Lepisosteus oculatus: one gene and its partners. The protein of the gene in region 3 purifies or fractionates together with the protein of the main gene of each other region. This does not show direct contact. Links are inferred from orthologs where the notes say so. Each region holds a gene or a part of one and is shown on either strand. Other genes may lie near its edges. The genes, in order: kif3a, kif3b and kifap3a.

Region 1 (3,756 bases), on a different chromosome or scaffold from region 3:
TGTCCAGCTTGTTACTCTGTAGAAATAAGAGAATGTTAAGTGGACAGGTGCTATACATGCCTCTCCTATTTAATCCCAATATTGGGAAACGACATAAGTATGTAAATACCTTCAAGAACTCATGAACTTATAATCAGCAGCTATATTACCTTGCAGCTCAAATGGGAAACCCACTGAAGCTAAGCAGGTGTGAGCCTGGCCTATATATAGGGTTGCTGCTAAGGAGGTGTTAGTGGGACCAGTAGAGAGTTCACCCTGCAGGCTGTGCGAGTCCTAATGTCCCAGTATAGTAATGGGAAGATTACACTGTAAAAAAGCACCATCTTTCAGATGAGATGTAAAAATGAGGTCCTGATTCTCTGTAGTCATTAAAAATCTCAGGGGATCTCTCTAAAAGAGTAGTGGTGTCATCCTGGAGCCTCGGCTAAATTTAACCCTCGCTTTTATCCATAATGGCTGCCTAATAATCCCCATCTATTCATCACTATGTTCACCTCCTGGTGCTAGCTGGTGTATGTGGTGAGCATACTGGAACACTATGACTGCCGTCGCATGATCCAGGTGGGGCTGCACATTGGTGGTGGTGGAGGGGAGTCCCCATTACCTGTAAAGCGCTTTGAGTGAAGTGTCCAGAAAAGCACTATATATGTGTAAGTATTATTATTTATTATGTTACCCATTCATTACCAAAAGTCACAAATTCTGGTAAAGGTTGCGACAAGCCAAAGCCTATCACAGAATCAGGGGGTGTGAGGGGGACGAAGAGCTCACAGACTGCTCTCTCCCTCTGGACTCCACACTCTTACTGTAGGGCCACAAAGAAAGTTACAGTTTAGAAGCCCAGAACTAGTCCTTGGGTAAAGACAGGAAACCAGTGCCCCCTGGTGACAGTCCAAGAGCACACCACAATCCAGATTTCCGAGGGAGGAATCAACTTTAGAACTTAACCTGGAAGCAGCAGCATTAACTACTACTAGGCAGTCCTTTATTATATTATGCCCAACCCCTAATAAATACAACATCCAAGCACAAGGTCACGAGTGTTGTACCAGGACATAGTCATGGTCTCTCATAGTCATCATCAATGTTCACAGAATACTACGCTACATGACAGAAAAAGTGTCTCCACATCCATGAGCTCTGTAAGTATACGCAAAAAAAGACAGGGACAACCCCACAATGTAACTGAAGCAACTTCAAAATTAAATTCTATTTGATAAATCAACAGGAATTTTAACTGAGCCTCACCTTCGTTTATCTACTTATCCCCTTCGTGTGAGTATAGTATGCGTGTTCGTGGGTGGGGGGCATTGTGTACTATAAATTGTTTTACTGTATATTTTTAATTTTTTTAAGCCTTTGATAGCTACACCTTAAAAATATGGTGAAAGATCATTCGCCTTCACGTTGTAAACGGGTGTTCCAATGCTTCATTAAAAACAGCATGTACATGTACTAAATTAAACGGTAATTACAAGCAGGACAAATGAATTCTGCCAGTGGCCTCTAAGAACTAACTATACTATATTATAAAATAATAATTTTACCTTCCTTGAGAAGAAAAGGCTAATGCACCTTAAAACCTTGATGAAATTTGCTATTCTAGTGTGAAAGCTTGCACTGAATTTTAAAATAGTTGCCTGACGCCCTGTTCTGGTGATGCTGTCATTCTGCAATGATAAGGGCAGAATGAGTGTGTGCAGTGAAGCCTGTATCCACATTTTCAATAATATTCACTACAACAGGGAGAAATATGGAGATGGGCCTAGTAGTAATGTATCTGGTGATGTCTCTGCCCAGCATCGCACTGCTGTAAACTGAACTGTCTCCATCCTGTCGCCAAGGTTATTGTACCAACCAGTTTATAATAATTGCTTCAAACAGAAATTTCACCGAGGCATAAAACAAATAAGCTAGTTTCCGTATATGGAAAGAGATTAAACCTGATTAAAACAGACGATGCAGACTTTGCGTTTTTAATTTGCATGGGTTGTTTACAAAAACGCAGGAAGCAGTATAACCTACTATGATTATATAACAACAATATCACACAAATCACAGACGGTATGAACAATACTCTACATTTTAAGCATTAAATTAACTAAACAGACGCACTGACATGAATTAGATTATTTTAAGAGAACTGGTATTTGTAGCCGGTGGAGTGGAGAATCGTAAAAATGTCTTCAATCGGGAAGAACGGTGTTTATTCCTATAAATACGTAAAGAAGCGTGGACATACAGTACTTTTCTTGCACATTTTCGCCACCCAGTTCGTGCATAAAGCCGACTGTCCCAAGATATCTCTCCGCTAACAAACCAGCCTGCCATAGCAACACGGCAATTCCATAGAGAAAGGGAGGTACCACGGCTAAACTGACTTATATCATGTACACAGAAACTGATTTCGATCACAAGAAAGAGATTCCCTACCGGCATTTTCTCAAAATACGAGAATTGTCTCCAGGCAGACGATAGGATGTTCTTGCATTCGTCGTTAAAACGAAACAGGCCTAAGTACCGATCTGATTTTTTAAAAATTAAAAACACCGAAGGCAGAGTCACAGCGCTCACTTAGGTGATAGGCATTTTTTTTCTCCTCACGGAATTACTGAGCATGTGCAGTTTCCCTTTTCCAACTGTTGTAGGGAATAGGAAGGACTGACATAAAAATTGTCCATTTGGAAGTAGAAATCTCCCCAAGCCAACCAATCAACTTCATTTAAAGGTAAATCTTTTGTCGATGATGTCATGTGAATGAAAGACTGTTTAACCAATAATAATACAGAGACGAACAAAATTACCCAATCGAAGTGGACAGAGGGAAGGACTAACAAAAAAAAATGCAATGAAAATATTACCTTAAGGTCATCGAATTTATTATATTATGCAGCAAAACCAGTGATTACTCTTTTCATTATGGAATTAACTGCTATTTCTTCTTCAAATACTGTTAAACTAATCATAAATATTTGTTGTTAATATATGTGTTAATATTGAGTAATAAATACTAGCAAATAATAATAATAGTAATTTAATTAGCCGCTTACCTCTGTTTTATGCGTATACAGTACTGTAGTTAAAATGTCTGAGACGTGTACAGCTGTTGTAAAGCCAGCAGATGGCACCGTTGTGCGACAAGAATCCTCTGTTGGAAGAAAGGAAATAAGATGCAAAATGTACCAAAACAATAATAATAATAAATTACATCAGCTCTCGAGGAAACTTTAACGGCATGTTTCTGTTTTTTTAATTACTGGAGCAGCTTGAGTGAGAAATCTAGAAGAGTTCTGACACAAACAAGATTTTCCATAGGCCATACTTTTTTCTAACTGCTTTATTATTATGTGATTTCAATAACATATTTCGAGATAGGATGCTTTTAAATAGTTAGACAATAGTTAGGCATATAAAAATATATAGGCATATGACTTTAAACACATAACCAGTTACAATTACTTAAAAATAAAATTAGTTTACTATATATTTAAAGACTTTGGTGTTGTAAGGAACAATACAAATTGGTGAAAAAATGAAAAACAACAAAATGTAAACATTATTTCACCTTTAGATTGTGCATTGTATTTAAAACAAATGGCCTTGCTTAAGTGCCCACCCTGCAAATGGTAAAGAACTGTCAAACGTTTTGCATAAAATAAAACAAGGATTTCACACATATAACAAAAGCAATGTGAGTATTGTGCAAGACAATGACAAATAATGTGGCACAAAACAGTAGAAACAACAAGAAAAAAA
Region 2 (3,756 bases), on a different chromosome or scaffold from region 3:
TACTTATACAGTAGGGTATTTTACTGCAGTGATTTGGGTGAAGTACCTTACTGGGGTTTGAACCCAGAAGTTATAAATTCAGAACCTTAACCACAGTTTCACACTGCTGCCACAAGTAAATGTATTAAATGTCATAATGCAACCCCAGCAAGATTTTACCAAACTTTTGTCTCAGTGATTCACTGTTCACCATTAAACGCGCATCTGTTTGAAATGCAATGTTTATATTGACAGAATAGCCCAACACATTTGGGGCCAAGAGATCTTGTTTCAAAATCAATAATCAAATTAAACATAACAACCCCTTGGTGTAACAGTATACGGTAAAAACATGTCATGCACTTGATATCAGTTCATCCATCTGTTGGTGCTGGCAGCAGTGCCTACAATACAGTGGTGAAAACATCAATTTTACAGAACTTTCCTTGCACCAACCTTCACCAGTGAGGATATGAGTCTCATAGTATTTTCAACAAATTTTGCATGGGAAGGTTTCATGAGAATTGACTAGTAAACAGGACATCACTGAGTATTTTATACTCAGGGAATGGTTTAAAACTAATTAGAAATAAGGTCATGGGGACACTAATCTACTACCCATCCCAAATAAATGCTTTGCTTCTATGCCGGCTAGAAACAGAGGAGGGCTAACTGAATATTTACTGCTTCCCAGAGATACTGGAAGATTCAGAGAGCCTTTCTCTCTGTGGAGTCCCATCTTCTAAAAGCCACTGCATACATGAATAACTAACTGGGAGGATGTGAACAGAGACCATTCCGATTACTCGATTTGTCAGCTCCTGCAGACTACATCTTTATCCTAATAACAACACTACGGAGGAGTTCGGTGTTCATGAAACTCTAGAGTATAGAGATTGTCAAATTCAGGCCTATACAGGATGGAATTCCGTATGCAAGCTACTTATCTTAGAGGCTTCTTTTCTGCTTTTTGCTCATTTCAGCTGTGGCAAATTCACGAATTACCTCTGCCTGTTCCAATCCCTGAGGTTTTAGTGCTACTGAGACACAAAATACTACAACATGCTTTTGCAATCCATTAATTTTTTTTTAATGTTGCATAAAAAAAAGGAAAAGTTGGTTCACCGTAACTGAAACCGTTTTATTTTACGGTTTTAGCTTTGTAGATTAAGGGCAGCAGACCACAAGAAAACACGTTAGATCTAATGACAGAATTGTTTTGAGCACATCACTAGCTAAATAAATCACTCTCATAATATTCAAAATAATTTCAAACAATATGCAGAATAGTCTCACAGATTCCATCTCTGATCCAAGACTACTTATATTAGGTACCCCATTTAGAGTAAGCAAGTTTCGATTGCTGTTATTCAGACTTGGCTCAGCAAAAGCACCTTACCTCGGATAGCGTCTTTGAATTTCCTGAAACCAAATCAGTTACTGGACGATGAGGCCCCAAAGGTATTGAAGACTACCCTGAACGCCTTTCTAAAACTTGTCCCTGCATTTGTTTTTCACAATAATTCTCGAATACGCCTTTAAATCGTTACCTCACCCACCACTACAGACAGTACGGACATCTCCAATATGAAACGATATTTTATCTATTGACATGCAGCAGAGGTACGGGAAACTAAACTATTTAACACTAAATAGGACTCTTTTAAAGATTTTAGATGCACTTTTGTTTTATTTTTTGCGTTCTTCAAACCACGATTTTCTCAGCTGTTGGGATGCGCTACAGCATACTAGGGATGGGCATTTTTCTCCTTCGCATTAACACAAGGCAGCTACTCTACAAGACGGTAGAAAACAAGAGAAGATGTACTGCAAAGTATTACAAAATTACGGTTATTCTTGCATACTTTTGACTGAAAACTAATATTATGTCTGGTCAGATATTCAACATTTAACAGACATTCTGTACGTTATCCATTGAAAAAAATGCACTGCAATCAAAACAACCTTTAGAAACGCAACTAAAACGTAATGAAGCTAATTAAGTCTACAAAGATTGTGCCCATATTTAAAAGAGCATTCATGTGAATCACGTCTCCTTGACTGGGAAAGCAAAAAAAAAAAACGAATCACTACGGTACCTCAGCAACCCGAGAAGCGGCCTAGCAACGGCAAAACAAATTAATTTGCACAAAAAAAAACCCAACCTCCTCTAATCCTGTTACTCGTCCGTCGAAGCACGCTAGCTCTTAAAGTGGTTTTAATTTAATTCCCGACGAGGTCAGGCAAAACCATACCACGGATAAATTGCGCTTAATGCGGGGTTACCTGCAGTTCAGTCCCTCTCGGTCGTCAGCCATTACTGTTCAGCCTCCACTGTCCCGGATGGAAAGAGAACTTCCTTGGAAACCGGCTGAAGTAAACCTCCCTACACAGAGCAACTGCGATGATAATGAAATGGTGCAGGATGGCACCTTATCGATGATCCTACTGAGCACAGACAACTGCTTTAAAGTCAGCTTTCGAGACGTGCACTACATATTGTAGCGTACCTATTTGTTCTCCAGTCCGGCCACACTGTAAAACCGAGTCGTTTTTTTTTTTTTTTTAAAAAAGACACCCAGAGGAGATTAAATTTGCCAATTTAATTGAACGTGACTCTCCCTTTAAAAGAAAAAAAAACGCATTATGAAATTAGATGGTGCTGGTAATTTAATAGCCGATATAATTCCAGTGACTCAGTCCTAAAATTAAAAATTAACATGTTGTAGAGAAATTAATATTGTAATGAAACGTAACCCAGGATTAATCTTCTTAAATTATTGCATGAATAAAAAGAAAGCTTACACAATCATGTATTGTAAGAAAATCGCTTCAAAAGTTTATTACCGGTGAAATCAGTTTATTTAATACAAAATACATATCCAATATAAACCGACAGAAATTGATGTCAAATTGACAAAACTGACAAACATGTAAAATTGTTTTTTTTGTTTGAAAAAATACTTCCGATATTTCAGAATACACAATTCAAAATGAATGACAGTATCAAAACACAGCTGATTATCTTGTTAGTCATGTCTGAGTATAGTACATCTAAACGTAGCACTGAATCCCAACATCCACAGTGCTAATGGCATTCACAGTGAAAGCTATAAAAAGCTCTAAAATCTTCCTGACAGTCCATGATTTTCTGGGTTTTTAGTAATACAGTTGAGCTCAGGTACTCTATGTACTCAGAATCTTCAATTTAAGTGTATAAAAAAATACAGTTTTTTTTTCAGCTTTTGAACATCTATATCATTTTGTTCCTAAAAAAAAATTGTTTCAATTGGTATTCTCAAGCTTGTACAAAAACCAGGGAAGAACCCATCTCTAATCTTTCAACCCCAATATACATGTATACACTTGAGCAAGTAAAAAATGACAAAAGCAACAGAAAAAAACACTTAATTTTTCTTAGCCTTAAGAAAGTTTCACACAATTATGTACTTCCAAAGAACTACAGCTATAGTTCTCACATCTTGCTCACTTTGTCCAGTCCCATGGACACGAGATATCTGAATTATCCCAGATTTCCTGACAGAGAGCAAGATCAGGAAGCACCAAAACCATAATTCCTAAAACTCCTCTGTTCCATTCTTGGAAGTTTAATAAACCCGTCCATCAATCTCCCACAACAAATCAGACATCTGTTATCAAACTGCTGAAACAAATGTAATGTGTTGAAGCTTTCTGTATCCACAGATTACAGAATTTACCAGAATTTGTGCTTGTGTTCTAGCAGAGACTGAAAGAAAGAGTCATTAAAAATGGGAA
Region 3 (3,756 bases):
TAGAGAAGCTATATCCGTATTGGCATTCAGGCTCTTGAGGCGAATACTGGGAAGCAACAATCATTGGCATGTTAAAACAAGAACTTTGTAGTTTCTTTCGCTCAGTTCCACATTGTTTCTGCACTGTATCTCTGATCAGATGTTTACCCATGAAAATTAACAAGCAAGTGTTTACATTTCTTGTGCTACCACTAGTTTTATTTTCCACACATCTATCCATCATTAATGATAGTTAACAGTCAAAATATAATAGAATTCCTCACAATGTTTTTTTTTTTAATCAAATCTATATGCAGATCAGGTAAGGCAAAAAGAACTTTATATCATGTGTGTCAGCTGGCTGTCGCAATTAAAAGTAAACAGGTAAAATGTTATACTGTAAACTTAACAGCATTGCGCAAATCATGTTTGTCATAATTGACTTGATCAGAGACTCCTCAATCATTTATTGCTAAAGAGCACTAAGGCATTGTCTCTACAGAAGCCTGTATAAAATAATGATTAAAAAATTATTTGAAGCTTGTATTGATCAGTACATACAGACAGTAGACTTTACTATTACATATCCAATATTTTATTATATTTATTGTAATAAAACCTGTTTTAAAAATATTTTACTTATTCTTTTTTCAGTGCAGAATAGAAAAGTATCCACATAATTCAATTCAGATTGTCATAACATGGATTGTCGTTGATGATGGATCTGAACCAAAGCTAAAAAAGAAAAAGCATTTGACCTGGTCTGAGTCCAATTTAGGTGATAACTGTCAGTCTCAAACATTTAAAAGGGGTGATTCAGAAATAACATTCCTGAGAGAACTCAGTTTTAGTGGGAAAGTGGCAAGTAAGCCTTAGCGAACTTCAAGCCCCGTACAAGGACTTAAACCAAGAGAAATATATTTATTGGCACCTATCAAATCCACAGCAATTCTTAAATATTTCAGTGTCTGTCCATGGAGATTTATTTTACAATAAATCCATTCCAACAGGTTTATATATATACTGCCACTTCTAAAAATGTAAAAAGGAAATAAAATATGAACATTAAAATGCGAACCAATGTAATTTTAAGAAAGCTAGGCTGCACACCAACTCTACAGAATATACCTATTTAAAACATCACCACTTCTTACATTTTCTGGCACTCTTTCCGTTCTCCTAGCATGGGGTCTCCCATCTCACCCAAAATAGTAGCTTCCACCTCATACTGGACAATAAGGGCTTTCTCAGTTGGATGGACATCAATGTTTCCTCCCTTTACTTTTCTGTAGGGGAGGAAAAAGGCACACACAAAACGACTGAAATGCATGCAAGGGCCAGGCTCGCCACTAAGCTTCAGGGAAATATTAAAACAACGGCTTCTTTAACTACTGCAATGGAAGCAAAAAGGGAAATAGATGCTAAGGACTTACCTAATATATTACATAGCGATTTTACAAGGACCACTGTTTGGGGTTATGTCTTTTAAAGCAACCAGATACTGTGAAATTCATATTTAATATCAGCATTTACCAAGTGGTATTCAATCATGTACACAAAAAAAAAAACATGAAAAATAAATTGGAGGTATTTCATAGATATTCTACTTTCTCCTGTCTGGCTCATTTGCTATCATGGCAGCTGAATTAACAGCAAGCAGTCATGCATGATATTGTTTCCTCATTTGTATGGTCTTCTAAGATATAAACTTGGATATAAGGTATAAACAAATCAAGACATAATTCTCTCGCAAACGTCAATTGTCTGTGCTTACAACTCTTTTTTTTTAATCATACGTATTGTGATTATGATAATAACATGCTGCTTAGCCAGACGTTGAGTGACACTTGTCCCTCAAAGAGACAATGGGGTTTGAACTGGTGCTTTAGAAAGCACCGGAGGACAACAACATGTTTATTTTAATATTATGTTTGTTTCCTATTGTGCTGGAATATAAACACGTTCTGCTCCCAGCACAATATGGAGCAGAATCAAACGATAACGTGATGACCTCAGTTATGTGAAAATAATCTAGGTTCCTTTTTTAACTGAAGAAGAAATTACACTAAAAACACTGACGGCCCACACCCAAACGAGCACATACAATGAATAGCAGGGATTCGTCTTGGCAAATGATTCAAACACAGAACTGCAATATTTTCCAGCAAATGGCATTTAATACATATTCGATGGGCACGTATCAGTTTATAGCGCATTTTCTGATAAAAAGAGATGACATGAAGCTATCCCATCTTACACAGTCGCAATAAAAAGCGTTTATTTTTGCTTGCTTATTTTGCTGACAGCCCCTGCAGAATTGCATCTTACCTTTTTAAATACCGTGCGTCTTCCGTTTGCATCGTGTTTTCAATTTTTCTAAATTCGACGATTTGCAATGTTTGTTTCTATGAATTCAACGATCTCACTGTACAGTATTCTATATTTTATGATACAGTAATGATGTGCAACCGGCTGTTTCCGTTGCCAGGGTAAGCCACTACTCATCCCAGCATGCAATGTAGCAACAGTGCAGATAGAGAGGGTCGGAGCTCAGCTGTTTCTGCCGGAATGATTTGTTCTTGCGCCTCCTAATGGCCGGGATGACAAAAACATTTCAGCAGTGCTGAAATCGATAGCTCTTACAGATACCGATACCAGTCATAAACAAACAAGTCCAACCAAGGCCTTTCCTCTTATTTTCGTACAGCGTAATTACTGAATTTGTTAAAGCATTTCGGAACCCCCCAATTTTCTCTTCTATGCCTTTCTGTTGAAGTAATCGCTTTTGACATAACGTCACTATAACCATCATTTTGACTTCAAAGTGACAAATCACCAGCGAGGGCGGTTTAAGGGGTAACTAGTTAACACTGTAGTTAACACTGTCCGTTGGTTTAAAAAATGTACACGTGTTTTTCTGGCATCACGATCGATGACAAGTATTACTTTTTATTTATAAATGTGGAAAAGCAGTAATTTTCTACCAGTTTCGTTTTAAAATGCATTATAAATAGTACTATTCTGATATATTTAAGCAGTTGACATCGAAATGCGGTTGGCAGGATGGCATTTACAAGCAGAAAACGATTCTGTATTTAAAAGAAATGAGATACAGTACATTCCTAAAACTTTTATCATATGGTGAAATTAACTTTTTTCCCCCTTGTGTGAGTAGCACAGATCTTTCAGGATACTAATTAACGAGTTAGTGAAATATATAGTACCCAATGTTCATGTCTTTCCTTTGAACTTGACATTATTTGTAATAGCTACATAATTGTTGTGAAAACATTAACTAACATACCATCTGAAAACGATATCCACTGAATACTAGACTGTGTGATAGTTGTAAGTTTTATTGATCTGTTAACTTCTGTTTTGTCAGGCTGTGGGGTATTTAGGTTGAAATGCTTTTTTCAGTTTTAGATTTTTGGTTTGCTTTTAACGTTTACTTTCCTACGTTTGTACTCAGTACTCAACTTGGCTTCATAACTAGGTTATGGGGGGGGAGGCTGAGGTTTTACAGATGCAGTATACACAAGAAAAACGTCTGCATTAAATTTTAGTTTATTTACTTACTGCACGATTAAATTGTAAAAAAGACGGGTGAATGGCCTGCCCCTGGTTCGCAAGCCTTCTTCTCTACAAATATTTTAAAGAAAAGGTTACAAAGTGTTCTTCTACTTCCTAGGATAACCTGTTGTAAAACATCTTTCAATTTTTAGTGGGAAATTCAGTTTAGTGGTATTACCTCAATAACTACTGTATGTATTTAAT

Evidence for each region.
Region 1: the proteins of kifap3a (region 3) and kif3a purify together in Homo sapiens (co-immunoprecipitation; 9 studies listed by BioGRID and IntAct, counting the BioPlex papers as one, with this or other methods). This does not show direct contact. The link is inferred for Lepisosteus oculatus from reciprocal best matches to the Homo sapiens genes KIFAP3 and KIF3A.
Region 2: the proteins of kifap3a (region 3) and kif3b purify together in Homo sapiens (co-immunoprecipitation; 7 studies listed by BioGRID and IntAct, counting the BioPlex papers as one, with this or other methods). This does not show direct contact. The link is inferred for Lepisosteus oculatus from reciprocal best matches to the Homo sapiens genes KIFAP3 and KIF3B.

What each region holds. Positions count from the first base shown.
Region 1 is NC_090706.1:24,925,554-24,929,309, forward strand, and holds the start of kif3a (kinesin-like protein KIF3A), read right to left. Parts: upstream 2,719-3,756; 5' UTR 2,440-2,718; coding exon 2,434-2,439; intron 17-2,433; coding exon 1-16. UniProt on the Homo sapiens protein: Microtubule-based anterograde translocator for membranous organelles. Plus end-directed microtubule sliding activity in vitro. Plays a role in primary cilia formation. Plays a role in centriole cohesion and subdistal appendage organization and function.
Region 2 is NC_090711.1:3,905,048-3,908,803, reverse strand, and holds the start of kif3b (kinesin-like protein KIF3B), read right to left. Parts: upstream 2,453-3,756; 5' UTR 2,266-2,452; intron 1,601-2,265; exon of another isoform or gene 1,379-1,600; intron 1-1,378. UniProt on the Homo sapiens protein: Microtubule-based molecular motor that transport intracellular cargos, such as vesicles, organelles and protein complexes. Uses ATP hydrolysis to generate force to bind and move along the microtubule. Plays a role in cilia formation.
Region 3 is NC_090704.1:8,064,537-8,068,292, reverse strand, and holds the start of kifap3a (kinesin-associated protein 3a), read right to left. Parts: upstream 2,706-3,756; 5' UTR 2,340-2,705; coding exon 2,308-2,339; intron 1,266-2,307; coding exon 1,134-1,265; intron 47-1,133; coding exon 1-46. UniProt on the Homo sapiens protein: Involved in tethering the chromosomes to the spindle pole and in chromosome movement. Binds to the tail domain of the KIF3A/KIF3B heterodimer to form a heterotrimeric KIF3 complex and may regulate the membrane binding of this complex.